Linked DNA regions of Tribolium castaneum. The protein of the gene in region 2 interacts with the protein of the main gene of each other region in a pairwise test. Links are inferred from orthologs where the notes say so. Each region holds a gene or a part of one and is shown on either strand. Other genes may lie near its edges.

Region 1 (8,686 bases), on a different chromosome or scaffold from region 2:
TAACAGAGGGCGCTGTTACAGTGGACATGGCTTCCTAGATATTCAGATTTTAGCTTTTAAATATCAAATAAATTGTTCTTTACGTCACATCTTCGACAAATCTACATTTCATATGCTTTCAGTAATACAAGAAGTGTTTTAAAAACAATGAGCAATACTTATTATATTTAAGAATTGCTCTAATTAGTCAAATTAATAAGTAATTGGTCCAGCAAGAACTACTACATGGAGGTTTAGAGCCTTCTTGCCAGGAAAAAAGGAATTAAGGATGAGGTAAACAATTATTATAAGAAAATGAAGGGAATAAAGGAATATTGGTTTGTGAAATGAAAAATACAACAAAAAAATATTTTTTCACTTGGACTTGAACAAAATGGACCTACCTTTATATGGCTTCTGCGTTGGCTACTGTTTGTAGCAAGACATTAAAAAGAAACTAAAAACAACACCATGAAAAAATCTTTATTTGCATGAAAGTTACAATAAGCGGCTTTTATCAACATTATACAAAATAAAGAATACACAATAGGTTACAATAGATGGCACTCAAACTATTAAATTTAACATCACACAGGATAAATAGAAAAAAAATGAACTTACCTTCATATGGCTTCTGCGCTGGCTACTGTTTGTAGCAATAATAAATAAATAAAAAACAAAACCGATAAAAAAGCTTTATTTGCATTAAAAAAGTTACGGTAAGCGACTTTTGTCGATTGAAATTAAAGACAAAATCAGTACAATGTGCCAATAAATTATTTGAGCGTTTTATTTTATTTATGTTTCACTGAAAGTCCCATTTAAAAAATTAAAATGCACTTTTGCCACAGTTTGTAGCAAGATAATAAATTAGAACGATGTGCCTTTAAATTACTAGTTGAAAATAATACACATTTGATTTAATTTTCTAAAAATAAATCACTGCAGGCGTACCTTTTAATTCAAATTATTTCCTTCTTAAGTCCATTCCACTGGCACTAACACACTTACCGCGATCACCGAATTTAAAATTTAAACCGAAAAAATTAGATTTTACGCAACAACAGCAAGTAACAAACTAAATAAATTAAACGGCACCAATAATTTTGTAACGCTCTAAATAAATCAAGTCGCCTCCCGATGTGACCCGTGCGACTGTTCGTTGCCGACTGTCTCGCTCTCGCCTACTGCGACGCTCGCGTAACATCACATGACGTCGCGGATGTGACGTCAAACTCACATCTATAAAACTGTTCATCAACAGAAAATTTATTAAGAAAACAGCACATTATTTTTCCTGTTTTTTTTCCTTTCTTTTGTGCAAACAAGTCAGTCAATGTTTAATAAATTAATTTATACTTATAATTTTACATTATTTTCATTATTAAAATGGAATGATTTCAAAGTGTACCAATAAAATAAAAAATAACGTAAAGTATTCGTGGATAACTGGTCTTTAAAACTCTTGCTCTATTTCGAGCACTCCGGCTACGCCGTCGTGCTCGAAAAATCGCGCGTGCTTCAAAGACCTCAATATCCACTTATACATTCCTCAATATAATTATATTTATAATTATATATTATATTATATACATGTATATATATTATTATATTTATTATATATTATAATTATATTATAAGTTTTGTGACTTTTGAAATATAAAAAATTTCAGGAGGAACTCATAAAAAAACTTTCCGCCCCCTTTAAATGCCCCGACCCCAACTACCAAGGCTGCAATTCGACCCGCACCCTGGGCCTCCGTCGCAGCGTCGCCCCTCGCCCCTTATACGACCCCAACACCCCCAACGCCCTCATCCTCTACTCGCCCCCCGAGCAAAGCGAGCACGAAAAACTGAAAGGCGACGGCCCTGTCCTCGTGCACGTCGTTGTCGACCCGTCCTTGAGCAACATCCTGCGCCCCCATCAGCGCGAAGGCGTCAAATTCATGTACGACTGTGTGACCGGCGTCCAAATCCCCAACTCGTTCGGCTGCATAATGGCCGACGAAATGGGACTTGGAAAAACCCTACAGTGTATCACCCTCTTGTGGACCTTGGTCCGGCAGGGCCCCGAATGCAAGCCGACCATCGACAAGGGGATCATAGTCTGCCCCAGCTCCCTGGTCCGGAACTGGAGCAACGAGATCGACAAGTGGCTCAAAGGCAGGCTGAGCTGTCTCATCATGGATGGGGGCCCCGATGCCAGGAAAAAACTGACCCAGTTTATGCAAGGCTTCGGCCGGACGGCAATCCCAGTGTTGATTATTTCCTACGAGACGTTTCGGATGCATGCCGAGATTTTGCACAAAAGTGAGATTGGATTGGTGTTGTGTGACGAAGGACACAGGTTGAAAAACTGCGAGAATCAGACGTATAAAGCCTTGATGGGGCTCAAGGCCAGGCGGAGGGTTCTGTTGAGCGGGACGCCGATTCAGAACGATTTGTTAGAGTACTTCAGTTTGGTGCATTTTGTCAATGAAGGGCTGTTGGGAAGTGCTCAGGAGTTTAAGAAAAAGTTTGAGAACCCCATTCTGAGAGGGCAGGACTCCACTGCCACGGACTCAGAACGACAGAAGGCGGTTGAACGGCTTAAGGAATTATCAGATTTGGTGAATCGTTGCCTAATTAGGCGAACTTCCAACCTTCTTACTAAATATCTCCCGGTGAAGTTCGAAATGATTGTAATTTGTCAACTGACCCCGTTGCAAAAACAAATCTACTTGAATTACATCAACTCGGAGGGTTTGCGCAAGGGCGTGTTGAACGACGTTGAAGTTAAAGCCTCTCTGAGTGCCTTAGCCAGCATCACAACGCTGAAAAAGTTGTGCAACCACCCTGATTTGATCATGGATAAGATTCTTGAAGGTGGGGAAGGTTTCGAAAAATCGCGCCACTTGCTCCCGCCCAATTATAATGATAAAGATGTGATGCCGCAATTGTCTGGAAAATTGATGTTGCTTGATTGTTTCCTAGCCAATTTGAAGAACAACTACAATGATAAAGTCGTGTTGGTGTCGAACTATACGCAGACTTTGGATCTGTTTGAGAAGTTGTGCCGGAAGAGGGGGTACCGGTATGTGCGTCTTGACGGAACTATGAGTATTAAGAAGAGGGCTAAAGTTGTGGCGAATTTTAATGATCCGGAGTCGGGGGAGTTTATTTTTATGTTGAGTTCAAAGGCGGGAGGGTGTGGCTTGAATTTGATTGGTGCTAATCGGTTGATTATGTTTGATCCGGATTGGAATCCGGCGAATGATGATCAGGCTATGGCAAGGGTGTGGAGGGATGGGCAGCAGAAGCCGTGCTATATCTACAGGTTCTTAGCGGTAAGGAGAATTTTATGTGGTAGTGTTTTATCTACAAATGTTTTGTACAGCACTGTTGACTTTAAAATGTTAGAAAATTACACTTGGTCTATTTCGAGCACTCCGGCTACGCCGTCGTGCTCGAAAAATCGCGCGTGTTTTAAAGAATTCAATTTCCACTTATACTTATTATTATACACACAGAGACTGAGAAACCTAGAAAAATTAGGATTTTTATTTCTTAAAAAAATGTTTAAACTTTTAAGAAGTTAAGTGGAACACTTTCTAAAAATACAATTTATGTCTGTTCCTATGTATTTTAAATTAAAATGTTCCAATAAAAAAATTTTTTGGTGTTTAGCTATGTTTTGGTGTCTATGGTGTCTCGCATACGCTCGTTGCATAACGACAGCCTTCGACCTTTAAGCTTGTATTTTTTCACTTGTATTATAATAACTATACACCGTTCACGATTGTTTTAAATTCGGACTATCTATGAAAATCTGACATTTTATTTAGCAGTACTGTGAGTTGTCATATGAAATTTTGGGTTATAATTGATGACAACCAAGGACTGTTGTCAGTTTGCTTCGTTTTTTAAATAAATAATATATATATATATATATATATATATATATATATATAGTATATTATAGTATTCATTCATACTATATTATACTATTCATTATCATTAGTTAAAAAAGTCGGGTCTGTCTTTCTTGCATCCTTCAAAGCATCTTTTGATACACGCTTTCTTATCAACAGAAATTATTTTCGACATTTTAAATTAATAAGCAGTAGAACTGACAACAGCGAATTTTTGACAAGAAACGTCATAAAGACAGTACCTGACAGGACCTGAGGCCAACCTAACAAAAATATATCTACGCCTGCTGAGAATTTAAAACAATCGTGAACGGATAATATACAATCTCAATGAACACAAATAATGAATTTGTATCATTTGTTTTTAATTTACAGGGTGTTTTACGAGTCCTGCACCCAAATATACAAAAATCACAAAACATTAGCTAAAAAAAATGTACTTTTTGTTATTTAATTTTTGGTTACCCATGACAGTAGATGTCAAACGAATTTTCATGTGTTTTATCAAGCGAGAGAATGAATATAATTCTAATATGTCTAACTTAATCACTAATTAACTGAAAGCGTTGCAATTTTTTAAGGGGTGAACAAACTAGAGATGATTATCCAATTTTTTCAAAATTTATAATCATATTCGTATCAGTATATATATTATTCGTTACATTTTATCACGTAAAATTACGGGAAACACCTTGTACTGTACTATTTTCAGACCTAATATCTTTTTTTAAAACTATAAAAACAACTGTCACCTAAATCTAATTTTTTTTTTTGAATTTTGAAAACGCCAGGAGAAAGATCTTGAAGATATAAAGGATCTAAAGATCTAATTCCCAAAGTGAAATCAAAATTATTATGTACCAGATTTTAAGAAAGTAGTTAATTTTGAACATCTTCTTGCCTTAAAACAAGAAAATGGCGTTTTCTAGGCGGAAACAAGGATCCTTTGCTTCAAAACAAAAAAACACTTACCGAACATACAAAAAAAACTTTATTCGTGCTCAGAAAAACGACCTAAGCATTGGCTTAAAAGGAAATAATTAAATTCTGACAAAGTTTTGCTTAGAAATGAACAAATTTTATGAAAGTTGTCCAAAAACTACTAACTTTACCCGAAATGTGTTTTTATTTTTATTGTTATTATTATAATGATTACTATTTTAGATAATTTACGTGACGATTTAGATAAAATCAGCTTGTTTCCGACGATTATTTGCTTCGAAACGTGAAATCTTTTATAAATCAAACTGAAAAAAAAATACAATTAATGTTACAGTTTGAATGAAAACGGCTTACTTCGGACAATTGTTTACTTTATCTTTTGAGACTTGTAGTTAATTTTTAGAATTATTTTTGCATTTTTACCTAAAATACACAAATTACTAAAAAGAAATTAGGTTTGTTTTTTACAAAGAGTGTTCCTGTTCCTTGCAGGCGGGGACAATTGAGGAAAAAATTTTCCAGAGACAAGCTCATAAAAAAGCCCTGAGTTCGACTGTCGTTGACAATAATGAGGAAACGGCGCGACACTTTAGCGTCGCCGAATTGCGTGATTTGTTTAAATTGGAACAAACGGACTCGGACACACACGAAAAACTCAAATGTAAACGGTGTTTAGGTAAAATACAAACGAAAAATCCGTCCGATGAGGCTGATTGTACGTCGGATTTGCAAGATTGGTACCATTGTTGGGACAAAAAAGGGCTGGCAGATATGGTAAATTTTTAATCAAAGTGCCCTTGAACGTGTTGGAATGGTTGGGTTTTTGTAGGTTCTTAAACAAATATGGGATTTGTCCAAATACATTTCCTTTGTGTTCCATCAAAAATCAGCCAAACAGGAAGTTAAACGAGTTAAGGAAGAAGAAGTGGAGGAAGATCCTGATTACGATGATAAGGATGATTTGGATTATTCGGAATAGTTGTATTTTCTATCTGTTGTTAAATATTAAATACGGATTAAATTTTTTTTGCATTTTGGTGTTTATTAATCCCCTCCCTGAATATATATATATATATATATATATATATATATATATATATATATATATATATATATATATATATATATATATATATAATTTCTTTAAAAAAATGCCAATAAACTACAGAATTATGTCAAAAAATGTCATTATTCTTGCAAATTCTGAGGATTTAAATAAGTTTTTAGACCAAAAATCAAGTTTTTTCACTGTTTTTATTAAACTAGAACGGAAAAATTACCAAATTTGGTCGAAATTGACCAAAAATTTACCTTTTCTAAGTGTTTATTCAGTAAAAACTCAATTATTGCGTAAAATTTCTTAAAAAATGAGCTAACAAATCACAGAATTATGTCAAAAATTACATTATTTTTGCAAGTTCTGAGGATTTTAACACGTTTTTAGACCAAAAATCAAGTTTTTCTGTCTGTTTTTCTTAAACTAGAACGAGAAAATCACAAAATTTGGTTAAAAATTACCAAAAAATTACCTTTTTTAAGCAGTTATTTCGCAAAAACTCAATTATTGCGCAAAATTTCTTTAAAAAAATGCCAATATATCACAGAATTATGTCAAAAATGACATTATTTTTGCGAGTTCTGAGGATTTAAACAAGTTTTTGGACCAAAATCAGGTTTTTTCACTGTTTTTATTAAACTAGAACGGAAAAATTACCAAGTTTGGTCGAAATTGACCAAAAATTTACCTTTTCTAAGCGTTTATTCAGCAAAAACTCAATTATTGCGTAAAATTTCTTAAAAAATGAGCTAACAAATCACAGAATTATGTCAAAAATTACATTATTTTTGCAAGTTCTGAGGATTTAAACACGTTTTTAGACCAAAAATCAAGTTTTTCTGTCTGTTTTTCTTAAACTAGAACAAGAAAATCACAAAATTTGGTGAAAAATTACCAAAAAATTACCTTTTTTAAGCAGTTATTTCGCAAAAACTTAATTATTGCGCAAAATTTCTTAAAAAATGAGCTAACAAATCACAGAATTATGTCAAAAATTACATTATTTTTGCAAGTTCTGAGTATTTTAACACGTTTTTAGACCAAAAATCAAGTTTTTCTGTCTGTTTTTCTTAAACTAGAACGAGAAAATCACAAAATTTGGTAAAAAATTACCAAAAAATTACCTTTTTTAAGCAGTTATTTCGCAAAAACTCAATTATTGTGCAAAATTTCTTTAAAAAAATGCCAATATATCACAGAATTATGTCAAAAATGACATTATTTTTGCGAGTTCTGAGGATTTAAACAAGTTTTTGGACCAAAAATCAGGTTTTTTCACTGTTTTTATTAAACTAGAACGGAAAAATTACCAAGTTTGGTCGAAATTGACCAAAAATTTACCTTTTCTAAGCGTTTATTCAGCAAAAACTCAATTATTGCGTAAAATTTCTTAAAAAATGAGCTAACAAATCACAGAATTATGTCAAAAATTACATTATTTTTGCAAGTTCTGAGGATTTAAACACGTTTTTAGACCAAAAATCAAGTTTTTCTGTCTGTTTTTCTTAAACTAGAACAAGAAAATCACAAAATTTGGTGAAAAATTACCAAAAAATTACCTTTTTTAAGCAGTTATTTCGCAAAAACTTAATTATTGCGCAAAATTTCTTAAAAAATGAGCTAACAAATCACAGAATTATGTCAAAAATTACATTATTTTTGCAAGTTCTGAGTATTTTAACACGTTTTTAGACCAAAAATCAAGTTTTTCTGTCTGTTTTTCTTAAACTAGAACGAGAAAATCACAAAATTTGGTGAAAAATTACCAAAAAATTACCTTTTTTAAGCAGTTATTTCGCAAAAACTCAATTATTGTGCAAAATTTCTTTAAAAAAATGCCAATATATCACAGAATTATGTCAAAAATGACATTATTTTTGCGAGTTCTGAGGATTTAAACAAGTTTTTGGACCAAAAATCAGGTTTTTTCACTGTTTTTATTAAACTAGAACGGAAAAATTACCAAGTTTGGTCGAAATTGACCAAAAATTTACCTTTTCTAAGCGTTTATTCAGCAAAAACTCAATTATTGCGTAAAATTTCTTAAAAAATGAGCTAACAAATCACAGAATTATGTCAAAAATTACATTATTTTTGCAAGTTCTGAGGATTTAAACACGTTTTTAGACCAAAAATCAAGTTTTTCTGTCTGTTTTTCTTAAACTAGAACAAGAAAATCACAAAATTTGGTGAAAAATTACCAAAAAATTACCTTTTTTAAGCAGTTATTTCGCAAAAACTTAATTATTGCGCAAAATTTCTTTAAAAAAATGCCAATAAACCACAGAATTATGTCAAAAAATGTCATTATTTTTGCGAGTTCTGAGGATTTAAACAAGTTTTTGGACCAAAAATCAAGTTTTTATTACTATTTTTATTAAACCAGAACGGAAAAATTTCCAAATTTAGTCGAAAATTACCAAAAATTTATCTTTTCTAAGCAGTTATTTCGCAAAAATTCAATTATTGCGCAAAATTTCTTTAAAAAAATGCCAATAATCCACAGAATTATGTCAAAAAATGTCATTATTCTTGCAAGTTCTGAGGATTCAAACGAGTTTTTAGACCAAAAATCAAGTTTTTTCACTGTTTTTATTAAACTAGAACGGAAAAATTACCAAATTTGGTCGAAATTGACCAAAAATTTATTTTTTCTAAGTGTTTATTCAGCAAAAACTCAATTATTGCCCAAAATTTCTTAAAAAATAAGCTAATAAATCACAGAATTGTAAAAAATTACATTATTTTTGCAAGTTCTGAGGATTTAAACACGTTTTTAGACCAATATATATATATA
Region 2 (15,914 bases):
GTGACAAACTATTAGGTTGATTGTTACGTCTGGTGTTAAGTGGTGTTAACAATGACCTCCATAGATCTAGAGATCATGTTAAAAATAAAAAAATCTTGTTTTGTTTGGCTACAAGATAAAAAATTTACATCGATAACCTACATATCACATAAGAATTGTTTTAGCTTAAATCTATAAAACGACTGTTCTGGTGACGTCAAAAACCAATGTAATATTCACTGTCACACGCCTAGTTCATAAAACATGCATCACAATATTGAATGTCAATACCGTCAACACGAAATAAGTCGTCTGCAGTTTACAATTTTCTATTTTAAGACAGCTTTCTATGACGTGAATGGAGCTTAGAGTAATTTAAACAATTCCATTATGAAAATTTAATCTGCATCTAAAATCAAATAGTCCTTGGAGGCGGAATCGTACGTCGTTGATTGATTTCTGGGAGGGGTAGCCCAACTTTGCAAATCAGTTCGTTCACCCCACCTGTAGCTCGATCTTATCCACCACTTCCTTGTAGAAAAATATGGCTTTCGTATATGCACGTGTGTACGTCTTAGACAATAATGTGAAGGTAAAAAATAATCGATAGAGGTTGTTGGCCTCGACCGCGTCGCGGTCAGCAAACCACCCTCCCACCCCTAAATAATTCACAAGTTCATTTTAAACGTTAAAAATGATTGCACACGTTTTCTATTTGGAGAGGGGTTAGTGACCTTCATGTTAATCCATCCACAAATGTTTTGTGTCTGTGTATTTGTCCACGATTTTTTGATTTACAATAAACTGAAGTTTGGGTTTTATCGCTGTTTGCAGAAGATGGTAAAATAGATTACGAAGCGACGAACGAAGCCAAGTGGCAGAGTCACTTAAGTCAGTTGGTTCCTTGTCAATTCTGCTCCAGGACTTTCAACCCAGACAGGGTGGAAGTGCACGAGAGGAGCTGCAAGGGTTAATTCAAGTGTGATTGTATTTTTTCCAATAAATAATAACAAGTTTCCTGGCTTTTATTACTGAGTATTTGCCAAATCATTAAGATAACTCGCAGCCAAAATTGCTATTCATGTTCTGTTAATCCTTGAAAACCCCTGTTTGCGACTTTATTTAATTTCTTTTAATTAAACAAAGTACAAGAGATAAATTTAAGTGAAACACAATGCATCTTCAAGTGTCACACAGATCAGTAAACAGTTGATACTAAATCTAATTGAATACCCTCGATAAGAGTTCCTCTGGTTCATTCCTCGCCCGTCTCCTTGTTTTCACACCAGAACTTTCAAAAATGTAATACCCACCAAAGATCAGATAAATATTTGCCGCCGTGTTGTATTGTGACTGCGTTATCGGTAAGTGAACTCGCGACCAATACGAAGAAAAATGGCTTTGGAAAAATCCAAAAGCATCGAAGCCGGTCTTCAGACCATCCTAACCGAAGAGGACCCTCCGGATTCCAAGCCAAAAAACATCTCCTTGTGCAAGAAAATCAAACTCATCTTCACCAACATCACCGTCGAACCAGTCCTAATATGTTACGTCCTTCCAAGTGTGATGGCAAGCATCGCCACACAAAACCTCAGTCTCGAAAAGGCATGTCGTGTAAACTTGCAAATGGACGAAGACATTTGCGACGCTTTAAGCATCCGAAACCGATCTGGTTATAACGAAAGCGACGAAATCGTAACCCAAACACTGATCACTTCAATGAATACTTGGAAAAGCATGATCCAGAGCTTAGTCCCATCGCTCTTACTCCTGTTTTTGGGGTCGTGGAGCGACCGCCACCAACGACGCAAACCTTGCATCATCCTCCCGATTTTGGGTGAAATTTGCACATGTACTGGCTTTCTCCTGTCGACGTATTTCTTTTACCAATTGCCGATGGAATTCAATGCTTTCTTCGAAGCCGTTCCGCCTGCTTTAACCGGGGGCTGGTTCGCGATGTTCATGGCGGTGTTCAGTTATGTTAGCAGAATTTCTTCTGTGGAAACTAGGACTCTACGAATCGGTGCTGTTAATCTTTTCTCCAACGTCAGTGTGACTGTTGGGATAGCCCTCAGTGGTATTCTCTACAACGAGATCGGGTTCTACGGAGTGTTCTCTCTAGCCATAGCCATGTATACGACAGCGTTGATTTACGCCATCGTCTATGTCAAAGATATGCCGAAGAACGAGGAGGTGATTGTGGATAAAAACGTGAAGAAAGTGAACCCAGTTTTGGACTTCTTCAATTTGAAACATATCAAGGAAACCCTGAACGTGGCTTTTAAAGACGGCCCACGTAACCGGAAGCGCCGCATTTGCACCATCATGATCCTTGTTATGGTCATAATCGGACCCATGCATGGCGAAATGCAAGTCATGTATCTGTTTGTCCGACATAGGTTCAAATGGAACGAAATTGACTACAGCTTGTACTCAACCTTCCAATTTGTCATCCACGTCTGTGGAACTGTTTTCTCTTTAATGTTCTTCAGCAAATTCCTCAAAGTCGATGATGCCGTCCTTGGAATGATTTCAAGCACGAGTAAAATCGCCGCTTCCCTCGTATACGCTTTCGCACCCACAAGTACAATTTTTTATCTTGGTAAGTTCTCAAATGACCCTCTCCCACAACCAAACGATTATTGCAGGAGCGATAATCGAGGCTTTAAACGGTACTTCTTTCATCGCCATGAGATCAATTATATCAAAGTTAGTACCTCCGGAAGAATTGGGCAAAATTAACTCTTTGTTTGGAGTTTCTGAAGCTTTAATGCCCCTTGTTTATGGGCCCATGTATAATATAGTCTATGAAACCACAATTAAGGTCCTACCAGGCTCCTTCTTTCTACTTGGAGGGGCTTTAACTGCGCCTGCGATCGTAATATTCTAGTAAAGTTTCACGAAAATGGGGAAAGCTTAAGGTTGATACGAATTTGTTACAGTTGGTTATACCGAGAGCATCAGAAAGATCAACAAGAGGAGGCGAAGGAGAAGCCACAAAAAGCCAGTTTGTTACCTAAATGATAAGAATGTAAATAAATCTGTTTTGTTACAAAAACTGCTTTTTATATTTCACACTAATTGTTAAATAATAACATAGAGAAATTATGAAAACGCGTTGCCAAACGATTAAGGCCCGGTTTCCGGTACGATTAAACTTAAATTAGTTAATTAGTTAAATTTTATCTCTCTGTTAGTTGCTAAGGTACTGCGTATCTGATTGGCGTTGCTATGTTTTAACTGAGGTTTAAATTTAATCCCTCCGTTAAATATGTTTCCAAAAACAGGGCTTTCTGGTTTTTCAAGTTTTCAGTGCGTAAAGCAGAGAATGCTTAAAGTCTATTAAAAAATTGGAAACAATATTTCTTATGGCATATCTCCAAATGAAAGCTTTTTCTCTTCCAGCCACTGGTGATGTGGATTTCGCGGGCACCTTCCACAGGATATGGGACAACCACTTGGCTGAACTGGTCGAATGTGGAAAATGTGGCCGCAAATTTTTCCCTGATCGGATAGAAACTCACCGAAACGCCTGTGCCGGGCTCCGCATTCAAGTTAAAGGCAGAAAACGGGAAACATAACTGTATAAAGAAATAAAACCGTTTTTTTATCAACCCGCTTTTTACTTTTCACCAAGGCGACAAAAACTAGTGACTTTTTCCACGTTGGCAATACCGTGAAGATGCAGCTGCGTGGCAGTTCTTAGCCCACTTCACGTCAATCGTCCTTTCACGGGAGTGCGCCATTACTGGCGTATCGTATTTTTGTGTGTGTTAACAAAATCAAGAAACATCCAACATGGTAAGCCCTTTTTGTGGATTTTATTAACGTTAAACGATTGCCCCAGCCTCTCTCCACGCCGTGGATTATTTATTTCGGTGGCTTAGCGTTATTTTAGTGATTTTTAACGGATTTGTTCAGATTGCACAATAAGATGAAAGTACACTCTATCCGGTATTTATGTTTACTAATAAGTGTTTTTCGGCTTCGTTGCCCGCTTGTAATTAATAAAAACGAACCAAAGCTGGGATTATTTGATCATTTAACGGTGGAAATGTGGAGAAAAGGGGACGTCAAGTGTCAACACATGTTGGATCTTAACCGGACATCTGTTAATGTTATGTGGCCCCCTTAGGTGAACTTCACTGTTGACGAGATCCGTGCTGTGATGGACAAGAAGCGGAATATCCGTAACATGTCCGTCATTGCTCACGTGGACCACGGCAAATCAACTCTGACCGACTCCCTTGTGTCCAAAGCTGGTATCATTGCCGGGGCCAAGGCGGGAGAAACGAGGTTTACTGACACGAGAAAGGATGAACAAGATAGGTGCATCACCATCAAGTCTACGTAAGTGCCCCAACCCTCGTTGCCAGATGGCTGATTCCTTATTTTAGTGCCATCTCCATGTACTTCGAACTTGAAGACAGGGATCTCGTCTTTATTACCAACCCTGAACAGCGTGAGAAGGAAGAAAAAGGTTTCTTGATCAATCTGATTGACTCTCCCGGACACGTCGACTTCTCATCAGAAGTCACAGCCGCTCTTCGCGTCACTGATGGCGCCCTTGTCGTCGTTGATTGCGTTTCTGGTAAGTTTTTGTAAGAAGTGTCGCTTCCAGCACAACAAGAGCCACTTCATAGAGCATTGGCTGCTTGCAACCAACGCTCAACGACGATGTTGGCAGTGCAATGGAAGGAGATTAATTTCAACATGTGTTTAAACGCTGCCACAGGACCTCTATCTTTATGTCCGGTTGTGGCACGCTACGGCATGAGTTGTACATTTTATTTATGAGAAATTGGAAATTCTCGGTTTTTAATTGGGAAACGTGGCGTTTTAGGTGTATGTGTACAAACCGAAACCGTACTTAGGCAGGCTATTGCCGAACGTATCAAGCCTATTTTATTCATGAACAAGATGGACAGAGCTTTGTTGGAGCTGCAGTTGGACTCAGAGGAACTCTACCAAACTTTCCAGCGTATTGTTGAAAACGTGAACGTCATTATCGCCACTTACGCTGATGATAATGGCCCAATGGGTAACATTCATGTAAGTTTTTAGTAATTTAACGATTAGAAGTTAGTTGAAAAAAAAAATGAAATTATGCAATGGTTGTTTTTCTGAATTAAACGCATATCGCGAGTTAATTCGGGAGGTCTAATTAATTTTTAATTGACTAGAACCATGAAGAAACTCGCAGATAAGGTCCACTATTTGCCCTGCTTTAGATTAAAAATATTTAAAGCAGTTTCCTGATGTGGAACATTGAAATTAATTTTTTGTGTCATTTTTTTTATGAAATTTCTTTTTTATAGGTCGATCCTAGCAAAGGTTCCGTTGGTTTCGGTTCAGGTCTCCACGGATGGGCTTTTACCCTCAAACAGTTCGCTGAAATGTACTCTGAAAAATTCAAGATTGACGTTGTGAAACTAATGAACAGATTGTGGGGTGAGAACTTCTTCAACCCCAAAACCAAGAAGTGGGCCAAACAGAAGGAAGCCGACAACAAACGCTCCTTCTGTATGTACATCTTGGACCCCATCTACAAAATCTTTGACAGCATCATGAACTACAGGTGAATAATCTTATTAATTGATTTAATTTACTGGACATGAAGGATGATTGTTCTCACAGACCTGTTCTGATCTGGTTGACGACAAAAGAACGGCCAACTGACCTTAATTAATCTTTAAAAAGTTTTGTGTAATTTTGAATTGTGGCCAATGTTGTTTATTCATGTTACAGGAAAGAAGAATACGAAGCTCTGTTCCCCAAACTTGGTATCCAGTTGAAACACGAAGACAAGGACAAAGACGGCAAGCCTCTCCTCAAGGTTGTGATGCGCACCTGGTTGCCCGCTGGCGAGGCTCTCCTCCAGATGATTGCCATCCATCTCCCATCACCCGTAACTGCCCAGAAGTACAGAATGGAAATGTTGTATGAAGGTCCCCATGACGATGAAGCCGCCATCGGTATCAAGAATTGCGATCCCAATGCTCCTCTTATGATGTACGTCTCGAAAATGGTACCCACCTCTGATAAGGGACGTTTCTATGCTTTCGGTCGCGTCTTCTCCGGTAAAGTCGCCACAGGAATGAAGGCACGTATCATGGGACCCAACTACACTCCCGGCAAGAAGGAAGATTTATACGAGAAAGCCATTCAGCGTACTATTCTCATGATGGGACGTAACGTCGAGGCCATTGAAGACGTGCCATCAGGAAACATCTGCGGTTTGGTCGGTGTTGATCAATTCTTGGTCAAAACTGGCACCATCACGACCTTCAAGGATGCCCACAACTTGAGAGTTATGAAGTTCAGCGTATCGCCGGTCGTACGTGTCGCTGTCGAACCCAAAAATCCAGCTGATTTGCCCAAATTGGTCGAAGGTATGTTTTATTTTTTAATAGTTACAAATATCAAAGCAAGGTTCCTTCAATGATGATTGTTCTCACAGACCTGTTCTGATCACTTTGACGACAAAAGAACGGCCAACTGACTACTAACACACAACCAATTTGTTGGAGAGAATTTTGTTCATACGTAATGTCAAGAAGTTACAAAGTGTTGGTTTTTTTTTTTTAGGTCTCAAACGTCTTGCTAAATCCGACCCTATGGTCCAATGTATCATCGAGGAATCCGGCGAGCACATCATCGCTGGTGCTGGCGAACTCCACTTGGAAATCTGTCTTAAAGATCTTGAAGAAGACCACGCCTGCATTCCAATCAAGAAGTCCGACCCTGTCGTGTCATACCGTGAAACCGTCGTTGAAGAATCGAACCAAATGTGCTTATCCAAATCGCCAAACAAGCACAACCGTCTGTTCATGAAGGCCGTACCAATGCCTGAAGGTTTGGCTGAAGATATTGACGATGGAAAAGTCAACCCACGTGACGATTTCAAATCACGTGCCCGTTACTTGGGCGAAAAGTATGAATACGATGTGACGGAAGCTAGGAAGATCTGGTGCTTCGGTCCCGACGGCACCGGCCCCAACATCTTGGTCGATTGTACGAAGGGAGTGCAATATTTGAATGAAATCAAGGATTCGGTAGTCGCTGGGTTCCAATGGGCTACGAAAGAAGGTGTTTTGTCTGAAGAAAACTTGAGAGGCGTCAGGTTTAACATCTATGATGTTACTCTCCATGCTGATGCTATCCATCGTGGAGGTGGTCAAATTATCCCAACCACTCGTCGTTGCTTGTATGCTTGTCTTTTGACAGCTGGGCCAAGGCTTATGGAGCCAGTGTACCAGTGTGAGATTCAGGTACAAAGATTAAGCACTTTAAATTAGTAACAATAATAATGATTTTTTTATAGTGTCCTGAAGTCGCCGTCGGTGGTATCTACGGTGTGTTGAACAGAAGACGTGGCCACGTCTTTGAGGAACAACAAGTAGCTGGTACTCCTATGTTCGTGGTGAAAGCCTACTTGCCTGTAAACGAGTCGTTCGGTTTTACCGCCGATCTCCGCTCCAACACCGGTGGACAAGCTTTCCCACAATGCGTGTTCGACCATTGGCAAATTCTCCCCGGAGATCCGCTTGAAACCAGCTCGAGACCATACACTGTTGTACAGGTGAGTGTAGGCGATTTTGACCCATCTTCAGACAACTCTGGATTGTTTTAAATGTCCACGAGTTTGCTTTTGATGGGAGATCAATAGTCTTTTAGTTTCGGTCTTGAAGTAAAATTCCTGGCCTGAATAGGGGGGCTGACATTCTAATGGTCAATCCCAAACGTTGCGCTTGGCATGGTTGTAATTATTTTTTGTTTTTGCAGGAAACACGTAAGAGGAAAGGTCTCAAAGAAGGTCTACCCGATCTTTCACAATACTTGGACAAACTATAAAGAGGTGGTTTTAGTTATGTACAGATTATTTAAGATTCATCTTAAATTATACAATAAAGCAATTGATAATTATAATTTTTTTTATATACTGGCAGGGTGAAAATACATGGATCAGTTGTAACTTTGTTTTTTGCTTCCCAACGCATTGGTTGTATTTTAATCCACATTATTTATGACAACTTATTTTCAAGTAAATTGTGTCCAAGAATAAGACAAGGGTTTTTATTGTTACCAGTGCATTTTTATTTAAGCTAGTTGAACTGATTAATTATAAGCAATTTGTTTTAACATACGGAGTTGAGAATAAAGGAGGAGTTTTTATTTGTAGAATTTCATTTTCAGTAGGTTAGGTGGGGTAAGAGTCCAAATATTTGTAATAAAGTTTGTTGCAGTAACGTTAGGTCAGTTTGCGATGGGGCTTCTCCGACACGTTTTAGGTGAGTTTCTTTTTAATATTTGACTTAAATTATCAATATTTAGATGATGATTTTTTTACGCCATAATACCGTGATGGATGTAAAATTTTAAGCTCAACAGGTCTGAAGTTATTTTCATAAAACAAGAAAATTGTCGAAATTTATTTTGTGTTTAAACCATTTTTGTTTTGTTGCAGTTCACAACCTGGGGCTCATTTGGCAGTGCTATTATTTGCTAGCTATTAAGGTAAGATTTTTAATTTTTAAGTAAATAGTAATTGTTACACACACCCCACACATTTAAGCCGGCCGTTTCATGTCTTAAAATGAAGAGGTGTGCTCGTTGTGGGAACATTAATTCTTTTCATGTGTATGGTTATTCAGCAATTCGTCTGTCTAACCAAAGGAAGATTAGATACATTTCATTCAAAAAAAAGCTTTTCTTTATTTGTGTCTACTTTTACAGGTAATTTGAAACAAGGCGCCCTACTTGGAATTCATTAGATGGTGGTGAGTTTCACAATTTAATCATTGTTTTAATTTTTTTTTAAACGTAACGTGATGATTTACTTACCGCCCCAGTCTGAAATCGGTGACTGATTGGTTTTTCTGATTTGTTAAATAGTACAAACATTAATATGTATTTATTTTTGTTCTTTAGTTGTATTAAAAGCAACACACATTCAGTAGTTTTAAAATTTTTTAAATTTTTTTCACTATTTAGGTTTATTTTTTGCAGATAAGTAACGGTGAGGGTGCCTTGGCTTGGATTTTTATAAGCTGGTGAGTAAAATTGCATTATTTGCTTATTTTTTTTTAATTATTGTGTGATGATTAATTTACCGCCCCAGTCTGAAATCGGTGACTGATTGGTTTTTCTGATTTGTTAAATAGTACAAACATTAATATATATTTATTTTTGTTCTTTAGTTGTATTAAAAGCAACACACATTCAGTAGTTAAAATTTTTTAAATTTTTTTCACTATTTCGGTTTATTTTTTGCAGATAAGTAACGGTGAGGGTGCCTTGGCTTGGATTTTTATAAGCTGGTGAGTAAAATTGCATTATTTGCTTACTTCTTTTTTAATTATTGTGTGATGATTAATTTACCGCCCCAGTCTGAAACCGGTGACTGATTGGTTTGTCTGATTATTCATTTATTTATTTTTTTTAATTTTTTGTTAACTGTTTCAAAAGCAACTTTTTCTTTGTTGCAGGTTCTTGAGGTAAATATTCTTCATATATTTCTGTAATTAAAAAAATTTGAATAAAAACGTAAAACAAGGAATGCTTTTTACTGTTAACGAATCCCAAACAATACTACAATTATTTATTAAAGCCTATATTGATAAAATGAATTTTGAACATTAAATAAAATCTAGAATAAAATGCAACAGTTATATCATTAATTTTATATTCCAGTAAGTACGATATTTAATTAGTGATTTTGTTTTTATACAAAGTAACAAGTGTCCTCGCTGCTAGAAATAGGGTTTCTTTTCTAGCAACCCCACTCACCCCCTGTTGCCAATTATTTTTACAAACCTAAAACAGATTTTCTAACGAATTACAAACAAAACAACTCAACTCACTTGTAAATACGCCGCTAGTAGTTTTTCGGTTGAATCGCACCCTTTCGCATAGCTGGGCATTTCTTTTTCGGCCAACTTCACAAAAGAATCAAGCGGAATTGGTGTCGTTTGAGTATATGTTTTAAGCAAAATCTTTTTCTCCACATCTTTCAAAACTAAGACGCTTAAGTCAAACCATTCATCGTTTTGTTGTAAAAGAATATTCTCAATAGCAATTGTTGGAACTTGACTCGAGTTTAACGCCGCTTTTAGCTTTTCTTCCGCCCTCTTAATCCCTTCTTCAAAACCTACAGCTTGGTGTTTCCTTTCATCAACTTTAACGCTAATCCCACTTGAAAAATTTAATCAATTACACGAGAAACATACTTTGTGAAGAAATTACTTCACCCAAGCTTTACCAAATACTGAAAAAATTGCCTCACGAATGGGGGCGACTTCGTCCGGGTCTTGCGATACAACAGCAAGCTCCACGTCCCCTCCAGAATCTAATAAATCAACACAATAAATGAGTGAAAAACGCGGAGATTCTTACAAATGAACTCCGACATTTGTGGGTCTAGGGTTGTGATGAGTGAATCTACGGAGTTTTTCGCCTTTTCCGCAACCTTTGATAATATGCCACCGCTGGAGACTGCATCTTTCATCCAGCCTATCAGTCCCCCGCCCCCCTGTCCTGCGTCTGCACTAGTTTGGGGAACTGGTCCATGTTGAACACCTTTACTCGGCGGTATGGCAGCACTGCAAGTTAGTTGCAGATAATTTGAAACCTTGAGTCAAATTTACCTAAACTGGGTTTGGGGGAACGGTTGGACGTTAACCGGTGCGGGGGCCGCTTGTGTAGCCGCAGGCGCGATGTTTGGAGGTAAAGGGGTAGGTGCTGGGATTGCTTGAGACTGCCACAGTGTGAAATCAGGGAGATTTGTCGGAGGTGGTAAATTCGAGAGCAAATTTCCACCCGGCAGAGCGACACCCCCTGGGGAAGGTATCGAGTACGGAGATGACACGCTACTCAGAGATTCTGGAATCATTTAATAAAATTGGGGCGATTTTAGGTTACAAACGTGTCACCTGTCTTGTCATTCGAGGCATCGTCCTGCTTCTTGTCGATTATTTCAAATGAGGCTTCGCCGTTTGAGTCCTCTTGTAACATTTTATTTACTTTTTACTGATTGATTATTGTAAACATATGATCACATCGTAGAATAACAGAGAATTTGGTTTGTGTACGTAAACGTAATCGTGGCACAACTAGGGATTTTTCCGCTACGTGTGAAGTTAGCTACGTGAACGTTTTATTTGTTTTACGCGAGATTTGTTTACGAAAATAAAAGTAAAGTTTGCTTTACAAAACCCTCGCCTGAGGTTCCATCCTTAGTCATCATTAAGTAAATATTTCCAAGCACTTTAAAGCGAAAAATCGTCGTTAGCACCTGGTGAATAATTAGGTTGGCATTCCCTATTGCCATTAATTTTTTTGATTGACGTTTGTCAATTTAACAGACCGGCCGCGTCAAATAATTAATTTTATCGCCTTTTGAAATAAAATGGCAGACCCTGTGGAGCCGCCCCCTTTATTTGAAAACGTGGACATCCTTTCCGACCGAAAAGAAGACGAAGATCTCTTCGTGTCAGCCAGACAGGTACACGGCTTGTAATTTGATATATCGCTTGATAACCCCCCACTTGCCACAGGAGCAGGCCGAACCGTACAAAGATGAGCCCCAGGAAGGCCTCAACGGCGACGCCGACCTCACCAACCTCTCCCTGGACGACCAGAAACCCGAACTGGAGACTGTCCCAATCAACAATAGTGGAACATTGCCAGACACCATGGAACAAGTATTTTTTCACACAACTGATAAATTTTTATTCGCATTGTGAAAACTACAGGTCGAGGCTGCAGGCGGCGATCAATTTTTGGAAATATCCATCACGGAGCCCCAAAAAGTGGGTGACGGCATGAGCGCTTATATGGCTTACCGGGTCACAACAAAAACCAACATGCCGATATTTAAAAAACGCGAATTTTCGGTGACGAGGCGTTTCAGCGACTTTCTGGGCCTCCACGACAAATTATCAGAGAAGTACCTCAAGGTCGGGAGGATCATACCGCCAGCGCCTGAAAAGAGTGTCATTGGCATGACCAAAATCAAGATCTCCAGTCAAGCGGAGGGCAGTCCTTCGAACGGAAACGACTTTGTCGAACGCAGGCGCGCGTCCTTGGAGCGTTACCTAAAACGCACTGCCCAACACCCTGTCCTGGTACTGGACCCCGACTTTAGGGAGTTTCTGGAGTCAGGTTGGTAGAGCTGGCTGTTTTTCCCCCTCACATTCCCATTTCGTTAGATATTGAGCTGCCGAAGGCCACAAGCACGTCTGCCTTGAGTAGCGCCGGTGTTATGAGGCTCTTCAATAAGGTTGGCGAGACTGTGAACAAAATCACCTACAAGATGGATGAGACTGATCCAGTAAGCCAATCACGAGTTGGTGGGAGTTAGTAACCAATCAAATTTCAGTGGTTTGAGGATAAGTTGGCTCACATTGAGGCTCTGGAGACTCAGCTGAGGAAATTGCATACCAATGTTGAGGCGATGGTGGCTTACAGAAAGGAACTGAGTCACTTGACTAACGGCGTTTCACGGTCTGCGGCGATGTTGAGCGCTTGTGAGGACCACAACTCGCTCTCAATGGCGCTGTCCAATTTGGCCGATACTGAGGAAAAAGTTGAAGCATTGCATTTGGAACAGGCCAACACGGATTTCTTCATTCTCTGTGAGTTACTGAAGGATTATTTAGGGCTTCTCGGGGCTGTTCGTGACGCCTTTCATGAAAGAACAAAGCTTTTCCAACATTGGCAACACTCGCAACAAATGTTGGCCAAGAAAAGGGAAGCCAAGGCTAAGATGGAGCTCACAAACAGGACAGACAAGGTCGACCAAGCTGGCGCTGAAGTGATAGAGGTGAGTGGCACCAGCACTATCTGTTGTAAACTTTACTAATGTCACTATAGTGGGAAGCCAAAGTCGAACGTGGCCAAGAGAATTTTGATAAGATCTCGAAAATGATCAAAACGGAAGTGGAGAGGTTTGAAAAGTGTCGCATTCACGACTTTAAAATTATGTTTATAAAGTATTTTGAAAACCACCTCAATCACCAAGCCCAGGTTTGACTGTAGTAAGGGTAAAAAACTCTAGACTGATGTGGTGTTTCAGCTCGTTAAGTACTGGGAAGCCTTCTTGCCGCAAGCCAAAGCGATTGCTTGACTAGAGGATATCTGCAAAGAATAGCAGAACAGACATTCCTATTGGAGATTTCCAGAAGTTTAATGTGTAATATACAATTTTTGAACTTATTTAGCACGAGGAGTCTCCAAGTTCGTCCCTTTTTTATTTCTGTCATTTACACATAATCAAATATTTGTAGTTTATAACCCTATTGTTGAATCTATTTATGTTACTTTGTAGCCCTTGTGTATTTACAGCGCTACGTTAAAATATAGCTCCTTTGTTATGTAAAAATCGCCTAAAGAATTATATTTGTTATGTGCTTTGTGTGAAACATGAATATTATACCCTACATTGTGATAAGAATATGCTCAGTTTTTGAAGCTTGATTCTTGTTCAAGTCTAGTGCAAGTTAAGGTAATTTAGGTCCCTATTGGCATTGTGTACAAGTGATGCATGAATTATCGAATATTGTACTGCTTCCATTATGTAAGAAAAATTTAAATAAAATTGTACATTGGACCGGATCTCCTTATTACACTAGCGCCACCGTGGGTGTGTGGCAATCAAAGCAAAACTTCCAGGTTTGAGGTTATGAGTTGACCCACATTTATACTTTTTTTCTTTGCTATGGCAAACCGAAACATTGACGAATCACTCAGGAAGCCTCGTAGAACCAAAGGGACCCCTTTTTACGTACAGAGGAATTACTACGCGGGTGGAGTTATAGCAGTTGGGGGCCTGTTCTGGCTACTTTTCGAGTAAGATGTCAGTTTGAAGTAAAATCATTTTTCCGGTCATAATTCGTAGACTGTGGCCCGAAGCCCAAAAGCTCAAAAAAAGTTACCTTGAGGGCAAGTTTGACGATAGCCCTGAAACCCGGCGACGCTTTATGGCCACTAGCCTCGTAACCAAAGGGGGCTATTTGGAACTGTTTAGTGCCTTGAAGGCCAGAGAAGACGCAAAAGAAGATGAGCTCTACACGGACAAAACGAAGCCGCAGCCGTGGTACACAAAATTCCACACAAAGCCAGACATCTAAACCTGTAAAGCGTAGGTTAGTGTAGTGTACATACTGTAATAAAGTTGTTTAATCATTTTTGTCGTTTCATTAGCGCCACTAAAACGGGGAAGATTTCGAAATATTTCGCCAAAATCACTAAAGACAATGCCGAGGGCTCTGAGAGTTCAGGTAGTTTCTCAGATTCTCCTTACAAAAACTGTTTAAGTGAAGTGAAACTCGATGACTCCGCGGGTAATTTAGCCGATTTTGAGACTCCTAAAGCGATCAACAAAGTGTCAAAGATAGCGAACGCGAAACCCCCGTGTAAAAACGTTAAAAAACGCAAGAAAACACAAGTGCCCCTTACAAAATTTGTTGAGGACAATTTCAAGCATGTTGACGTCAATCCGGACCACCTCCAGATGGCTTTAGCTCTCTCTGAGTCCACCTACGCCGCAGAAAATCCCGGTCAAACCCTCAGCTCACAAGAAAAAATCGATTCCTTTAGAGGCGCGTTTGAGAAATTTGGCTTTGGGTATAACAAAAGCAGGGTTTCAGTACAAGAAAAGAAAGAACGACTAGACCCAGCTAAAAAGAGTAAAAAATCGCGCTATAGACATGTAACCCCAATACTCAAAATTCGAACTAGCGAGGAACGAGAATCACTAATTTCGTCAAAAGTTTCACTCATTTTGGCCCAGAATGAACGAACTCGTTTGCCTAAAGCACAAGAAACGCTTAAATTGTTCTCCGCCTTCCTTCAAAAATTGACAAAACGGAAAATATTCCCAATAAACAACTTGGCCTTAGAGGAGCTGAACGAGGAGGGCCGATTCTACGTGCAGGGGTTTGAACCAAGCACTGGATCATCTTGTGGGCGCTTTTTGAAGGATTGGGGGAGCATTCCAGGACGTGAACGCACCCCCGAGCGTGTCATTACATCAAATGTGCCAAAACTGTCGCAAAGTTATTTACAAAGTGATAAAGAAAATTTAGAACCGGAAGAAAACGCGTTTCGTGAAAATTCTCCACAACCGTCGCCTTGGACCAGATTATCTGTGTGTGAAAGTCCAAATTTTATTTATAACGACAGTTTGTTTGCATCTGAAAAGAGGGAGGAAAGAAGAAACTCTCGAGTAATAGATTTAACCAACTCTGACGAAAGTTCAAACGAAAATAAAAATTTTGAATGTAACACCTCCCAAATTATTTATGGAAAGTTTCCATCTCCTGCTGTAAAACTTGGAGAGGAAGACTTCTCCAAACGTGGAGACGATAATCCGTTTTCGAGCGAAATAAGCTCCGTAATTTCCCCAAATAAAGATGCTAGCAGTCCTTCAGGGAGGAGTGAAGAGGGAGTGAATTCCTCGTTTCAAATATATAATTCTCCAAAATTATGCTTGTCACCTCAGCTTTCTCCGATAACTCCGAGTTATCAAGGTGTTAAACGGTCTCGAGATTGTATTTCTCCCGATTTGTTCGAATCAGAAAGTGAACATCAACTCTCTCGAAATAACGAAGAAGAAATGGAATGCTTTGACCTGACACAGTCCGACAATGAAGAGACTACAAGTTTCCATGTGAGTCGTTCTGCACCTGATGACTCAGTTGAATCAAGCTTGAACGTCACTGAGTACGTAAATAATCTATTATCCGGCGATCAAACATCACCACAACCACGGAGATTAGAAAAAATAAGTACTAGTGATGATGATTCACCAGAAAAGAGTTGTAGTCAAGAAAGCATCTACATAAGCGACGATGAAGTGAATTATTCAAGCGTATTTAGCGAAAAAAAGGTGCAATATGAGTTTTCTGATGACGAGGAGTTTGATATTCCGGACA

What was found.
Region 1: the proteins of eEF2 (region 2) and okr interact in a two-hybrid assay, tested with the Caenorhabditis elegans proteins (2 studies listed by BioGRID). The link is inferred for Tribolium castaneum from reciprocal best matches to the Caenorhabditis elegans genes eef-2 and rad-54.L.

The regions. Positions count from the first base shown.
Region 1 is NC_087401.1:14,214,108-14,222,793, forward strand, and holds the end of okr (DNA repair and recombination protein RAD54-like), read left to right. Parts: intron 1-1,652; coding exon 1,653-3,305; intron 3,306-5,324; coding exon 5,325-5,606; intron 5,607-5,661; coding exon 5,662-5,811; 3' UTR 5,812-5,866; downstream 5,867-8,686.
Region 2 is NC_087396.1:14,886,115-14,902,028, reverse strand, and holds eEF2 (translation elongation factor 2), read left to right. Parts: upstream 1-3,624; 5' UTR 3,625-3,777; coding exon 3,778-3,780; intron 3,781-4,114; coding exon 4,115-4,329; intron 4,330-4,376; coding exon 4,377-4,570; intron 4,571-4,822; coding exon 4,823-5,031; intron 5,032-5,297; coding exon 5,298-5,557; intron 5,558-5,727; coding exon 5,728-6,371; intron 6,372-6,567; coding exon 6,568-7,250; intron 7,251-7,303; coding exon 7,304-7,561; intron 7,562-7,564; exon of another isoform or gene 7,565-7,656; intron 7,657-7,764; coding exon 7,765-7,833; 3' UTR 7,834-8,154; downstream 8,155-15,914. Other genes in the region: uncharacterized protein LOC664550, read left to right, coding at 814-953; lysosomal proton-coupled steroid conjugate and bile acid symporter SLC46A3, read left to right, coding at 1,375-2,581, 2,628-2,868, 2,922-3,003; protein PRRC1-A, read right to left, coding at 9,685-9,795, 9,843-10,173, 10,225-10,327, 10,375-10,580, 10,626-10,860, 10,911-10,992; structure-specific endonuclease subunit SLX4, read left to right, coding at 14,038-14,123, 14,182-15,914. UniProt on the Caenorhabditis elegans protein: Catalyzes the GTP-dependent ribosomal translocation step during translation elongation.